Linked DNA regions of Macaca mulatta. The main gene of each other region encodes a partner of the protein of the gene in region 2 in a complex. Links are inferred from orthologs where the notes say so. Each region holds a gene or a part of one and is shown on either strand. Other genes may lie near its edges. The genes, in order: CRNKL1 and CWC22.

Region 1 (3,834 bases), on a different chromosome or scaffold from region 2:
CTGTAAGTAGTCAATAATGGTCTGTTCAATAAATGGCACCGATTATATTAAAATATTAATACTTGAACTAATAATTAAGAAAAAAATGTTATAAAAAGCAAACTGTTAACTAGAGTCAAAGCAGAAAGTTTTGAATTGCCATTTCAATCTATCTTCCTTGAATAAATCATTAATTTCCAAAGTAATAATACATTCAAATATGGCAAAGAAGTTAAGAGCATCAGTTCTGAAGCTGCTCTACTAGGTTCACATTCTACTCCCATCAGCACCTGTGAGAACCTAGTCAAGCTACTTAATCTCTCATGCCTCAGCTCCCTCATCTGTAGGATGGAGAAGTTCCTACACTGCAAGGTTGTTATGAGGATTAAACCACAATATTTGTAAAGTACTTAGAATAATGCCTGGCACATAGCAAGTACTATAAAAGCTTTTGTCAAACTAATAATATTAAAATTACTAGACATAATTAAGATCTTAACACTGTCACCTAAAGAGAGAAGAGTAAAAAAATAAAAAGATCTTAATACTGCATTGTAAAGTTGATTCTCATTATTTGTGGTAGTTATGTTCTATGTAGTCACTGCAAACACTTAATTATTGAGTATTGAACCACTGTGCCTAGGGGAAACATGTATATATACAATCTCACATTCATGATCATCTTAAATCCTAAAAAGAACTCATCCTAGCAGATTCTATCTTCATTATTTTGTAAGAAAAGTGATTCAGAAATGTTAAGCGATTGGACTGAGGCTGCCCCACTGACAGATTCAAACTCCCCAACTGGCCCCAGGGCCGGAGCTCCTTGCACTACATGGCACTGGCCCTTCCTGTCTCCAAGCTCTGGGCATGGTTATACGAGGTTAAGACCAGAAGGCAGAGCCTCGCCTTGCTGGACTTCATGCTGTGTGCATGTCCACAAATGACTGTGAAAGTGCCACAATTACTGATTTTTGGGGTTACAAATAAATTTTAGCAAATATGTGATTTTGCAAATATGGAATCTGTGAATAATGAGGAATGACTGTACTTCAGTTTCAAAAGTGCTTTCATGTGTATCATTTAATCTTCACAACAGCCCAACAAAGGTGTTTTTATTCTTGTTTTTAAGAAGAGGACACGAAGACTCAAAGGAGTTAAATGACTCACTGGAGCCACACAGCCAATAAACAGTAAACCTTTGATGAACTCCAGTAACGGTAGTAATGACCAACACCAACCTTAGAAAAACAGGACTGGCAAGGGCAGCCAGAACCTTAGTACAGTTAGTCCTCCAGCCATGGGTTCCATATCTGTAGATTCAACCAACCCGAGATAAAGTATTCATGAGAAAAAAGTGCTTCTATACTGAACATGTAGTTTTTTTGGTTATTATACCTTAAAATACACAGAATAACAATTATTTACATAACATTCACATTACATTAGGTATAAGTAATCTAGAGATTATTTCAATTATATGGGGGGCTATGCATACGTTACATGCAAATACTACATCATTTTATATCAGGGACTTAAGCATCACCGATTTTGGCATCTCCTTGATGTCCTGGAAACAATCTCCCAGGAATATCATTTTCCATGAGGAAACATTAGTTTTCAGCACTACAATAAAATAAACCCAAACTCTCACTAGAAAAGACTAATTACCCAGATCACAAATTTTCATTCTGACCAATCTCTTTCCCTACAAAACATAGGGAAGCTGATAAACTGGCATTCTTGACTTCTAGTCTGATGTCAATGACTGTGTGTCCTGACCATGAGACACCTCTACAGGAGCAGCAGCACCCAGGACAATCATGGCACCACTCAGTTCTCGTCCAAAGGATATATCGCTCATAAATGGTGCGGGCCCGATCCACCTCTTTGTATCTCAGTTCAAAGTTGATGTAGGAGTGCCAGGCTTGCTCCTCAGGCTGCCACTCCATCCAGCGCTCAAACACCTGCCGGGCACCGGCAATGTTTCCCAACATTTCCTCCATGTATGTGTACTTGTACCTTTAACAAAATCACCCGAAAATATCTGCTGTGGTTTAGTTCTCCCATTGTTGAATGGGAGGAAGATTTAAGATTTTATCTTTCTTAAAGGTTAAATCGAACATGTTTTGTTATTGAAATATAAATCTGAAAAAGGGTGAACCATTGGAAAAAAAGATTTTTTATTAAAAGTTGCCTAGTTCAACAAGAAGCTTATGAACAAAAGATTGCAACCAAAATTTTAGTTTTGATTACATAGCTGTAGAACATCACAATTATGACTTAACAGACTATGGGACATTAAAAAGCATTTATGTTTAAAGAAAAAGTAGGATGTAAAATTAAACTATCATCATGTAAATAAAATAAATACAGAAAATGTGGAACTTTTCTAGGCTACAAAAGGCTGTTTTATCAGAAACTTACCAGAACTGATTGACTCGAGGCAGCGTTGTTATGGCCCGGTCCCAGATATTTCGAGCATGGTTGACTTGGCGATTCTTCATCTCCATTTCTGCATATTTCAGCCAGAGTGTAATATTTCGATAGTCTACATCTAAAGCACGCTCGTATATGGATCGAGCCCTTAAGAAGCAAGATTTGCAGGGCATCAAAAGTAGTGCACACAACACATGCAGCGGTTATTTCACACTATCTGGAATGCCCTGATGTTTTATTAGGTGTCTACCACGAGCCAGGTTCTGGGCATAAGATGATGAAAAGATATAATGCTCTCAAGTACCTTACAAAGTCTTATAGAAAGACATGCATGCAATTATAATGCAATGTGATTTATGTTATAGTCAAGATCTGCACAGGAAGCAGAGAGGAAGAAATGAAAATGTCTGGTGGAAAAGGCTAAGTAGTAGGTAACTCTAGAAACAAGAACTCGAGGCAAGTTCCAATTTACCAGGAAACTAAGGTTGGTGTGGAGGGGGTGCTCATTCCAGGCGAGGAGAACAGCCAAGCCTCACAATAAGGAGACATGATATATTCAGGGAGTGGCACGTACACAGGCGCAGCGGGGGAAGGAGGTATGAGGGGAGAATGCAGAAAGCGAGACAACAGGAAGGGCCAGATTGCAATTTTTATTTTTTTGGCCATTGGTTTTCAGCTAAACATTAAAAAAAAAAAAAATCTCAATATATAGAAAGCAGATGAAATTGTGCTACTTTAGCTACAGCTGACAAGATCAATCTGTAAAGTGTCTCCCGCCCCGCCCTCCGGGACTATTCTACCCCAGTGCTCCTGAGGCCCTCAAGGGAACCCTAGGGTTTCATGGAACCATAGTTGACAATTTCTACCCGAGGCACAATCTTTTATCTGTGCTTTAACTTTTTCTTCTTTTCTTTTTGGTATCTGTTAACCTATGAATCATTATACACAAAACTACACTTTCAGCAATTTTACCTCTGAATCTCCTTTAGGCTTTCTTCCCATTGTGCGTATTTTATCCAGTTACTAATTACAGTCCTGTTTTTTCTTATGTTATCTTCAAAAGTCTGGAAGAAGGCAAAAAGGGTCAAGTCAAAGGGCAAATGACTAAAAATGACAGCACCCTTGGTCTATTTTAAGTCTTGTACTAAACTGGTTATTCATTTCGTTCATATTTAAGAGAAATTACATCCTGGAATCCTTGAGGAATAAGAAATCCACTACAGAAGGTTACAATCAACTAACTGATACTTTAAAATAGTCTATGCTTGTCCCTAATAAAAAATATTTTGACTATTACCCGTAAGTCCTCTGGTAACGTTCAGAATTTCATATATAACAGAATTCATGCTTTAAAACAGTCCCACATTCTAGAGTGAAGAGGTCAAATCAGATCCCAAAGTCTTCTCATAGTCCTTT
Region 2 (2,780 bases):
CATCAGAGAACTGCTCTGACTGTTCTCACTCAGTCTTGCCTTTCTCTGCTTTACTTTTCTTCATAGCACTTATCACTACTGGATATATCACATATTTATTTATTTTTGTCTGTTTACCATCTCCCACCCCTGAACTGTAAGTCCCAAAGAGTAGAGACTCTGTTCACTGTTTTATCTCTAGTACCTAAAACAAACCTGAGCAAACAGTAGAAGCTTAATACATATTAATAACATTTTAAAAATAATCTAATAACTCTAAGGTCTTAAGCACTTAATAAAATGAATGGGTTCCCATTTTTACATGTAAAAGTCATAAACTAAGGTTAAAGTGGCGAAAACAAACTAAAATTTCTAGTCTACTGTTTTTTACTTTTTACCAACCCTGAAGATGAGGATTCAGGTAAAAAAAATAAACTATTTCTCTTAGGGCTCATGGCCCACATGTTTGTTAAATCCAATTTGCTCAGCTTGTAGTTCTGTGGAATGCACTGTCCATGATAGTCCCTTCCAATGAGACCAAATTTTAACCAACACAAAGGGAAAAAACACTAAAAGGAATGTATCCAAGCTGTCTCATTCAAATGAATGCTTTTTGTGAGTTGGTGGGGAGGAGAGAATATTTATTTACATGAATTTTATTGTTATTTATATTCAAGTTAAACAACAAAAATAGGAAACATTTTGAATAAGCATATGCCCAAAAACTAAACATTAAAATGGTGGTCCCACTATTCCTGAAACCAAACATTGGCTAAAATGAACTATATGCACCTTTAAGGTGAGCAAACACAAGAAGTCTATATTTAGCAAGGAAGGTCAAATGTTTGTCAGCAAGTCTAAGATCTTAGAGGAAATATTTATTTCAAAAATAGTAACTAATGTCATATTAATTAATCGGTTAACAGTTACAATGATGGAAACCCTTAAAATTCGTATAAAAACCAGAAATTACAGTTAGGCTGCTTGCATATTTCACAACTATATGTTTGCCAGTGATCTATTAATCTAAACTAAAAATTAAATACACATTAATTCATCAACAGTGATATAACTTCAAGGCTGAGAAAAATGCACTAATCACAAAGAATTTCAATTAAATGATATCAAGGAGTCCAGAGAGAAGAAATTTCCTGTGGGAGAAGTTCTAATTATAAACTGTGTATTGGTTTAAAGACTAACATACACCTAGCTTTACCAACACTTGTGAAAAAAATTACACATTACATACTTTGTTCAAAGCCTAATATGAAAATTGTAATAAATCCTCTACTTGAAAAAAAAAGTGACCACCTGAAAAATATTCATAACATCTCATTAACAAAGCAAAAATGTTAAACTGAAAAGGTTCACCTGTTTTGGTCTTCAGTTACAAACAAAAAAGCACTGATAATTCACTATAACAGCTTCTTAAACAATTCAAAAAAATATTTTGTCAATTGAAAAAACATCACTGAATCAATGAGCATTTGATCATTTTATTCACAAAATATAAGCAAGACTTACATCCCTTTCTAGTGAATCTTTTCAAATAATTTTATGTATAGGGCCTTGAGATGTATCAATTATAAAACATGTTAAAGTGAAAACATTTTTTAAATTTACAAATACAAACCAGTACTTTATACAAGAATTCTCTATAAAGTTTGTCAATCAAAGTAAAAAATAATTTGTTTCAACTGAATATAAGGCATGTCCAGTTTATGTCATTTTGTAGAATTATTTTTGTTTTGTTGGAGACTTTTCTCTTCGCCGGTCCTGATTTTTCTTTGATTCTCTGGATTGTTCAGAGTATCTGCTAGATTTTTCCCATCGTCTCTCGGCACCATTTTGATATCTATCTTCATCACTTCTTGAGTCTGAGTGCTTTCTATTCATTTCCCTTGACTTTGATCTATCTTTTCTTCTGAAATTTTCACTGTCTTTATTTCGGTATCTATGCTTCTCATTTTCAGAAAAAGAATTTCTTCTCTCTCCTCTCTTCTTTTTGGGATCACCATACTTATTTTCTAAATCTATATGCATTTCTTGGTCTCTGTCATTCACAACTCTATTGTAGTTATTTCGTTCAGAAGGAACATCTTTGTCTGATGTGTACTTTGTTATAGGATCTCTCCAATTTGAATCTCTTGAATTTTGATCTCTGTGTTTTTCTGACCTTTCTCTCTCAGTCCTTGTTTCCTGGTGCCTGTGTTCCTGTCTTCTTTCTTTTTGTTTCCTATCATTTGTTTGCTGGTTTCTGATCAATTTATCTACTTCTTTACTTCTGGTCTTTCCATGTCCCTTCTTTCTTACATCATTAGCTGCATGTGTAAAATAAAAGACAGTTAGCTTTTATTTCAATCTTAATTTCATAATTATAACAATCACATTTACCGATACACTGTAGGTTTATTAACTCAGATAAACTGGATGCAAAGCCAAATTGATTGAATAGAAAGTCTGATGACACAGGGTCTTACCAAATGCTTAATTTTTTTTTTTTTTTTTTTTTTTTGAGATGGAGTCTCGCTGTGTCGCCCAGGCTGGAGTGCAGTGGCCAGATCTCAGCTCACTGCAAGCTCCGCCTCCCGGGTTCACGCCATTCTCCTGCCTCAGCCTCCTGAGTAGCTGGGACTACAGGCGCCCGCCACCTCGCCCAGCTAGTTTTTTGTATTTTTTAGTAGAGACGGGGTTTCACCGTGTTAGCCAGGATGGTCTCGATCTCCTGACCTCGTGATCCGCCCATCTCGGCCTCCCAAAGTGCTGGGATTACAGGCTTGAGCCACTGCACACGGCCTTTT

Evidence for each region.
Region 1: CWC22 (region 2) and CRNKL1 share a complex: the UniProt entries of both Homo sapiens proteins name them as parts of the minor spliceosome. The link is inferred for Macaca mulatta from reciprocal best matches to the Homo sapiens genes CWC22 and CRNKL1.

What each region holds. Positions count from the first base shown.
Region 1 is NC_133415.1:63,975,914-63,979,747, reverse strand, and holds part of CRNKL1 (crooked neck-like protein 1), read right to left. Parts: intron 3,483-3,834; coding exon 3,391-3,482; intron 2,566-3,390; coding exon 2,407-2,565; intron 2,002-2,406; coding exon 1,835-2,001; intron 1-1,834. UniProt on the Homo sapiens protein: Involved in pre-mRNA splicing process. As a component of the minor spliceosome, involved in the splicing of U12-type introns in pre-mRNAs.
Region 2 is NC_133417.1:84,878,339-84,881,118, forward strand, and holds the end of CWC22 (pre-mRNA-splicing factor CWC22 homolog), read right to left. Parts: intron 2,301-2,780; coding exon 1,717-2,300; 3' UTR 824-1,716; downstream 1-823. UniProt on the Homo sapiens protein: Required for pre-mRNA splicing as component of the spliceosome. As a component of the minor spliceosome, involved in the splicing of U12-type introns in pre-mRNAs. Promotes exon-junction complex (EJC) assembly.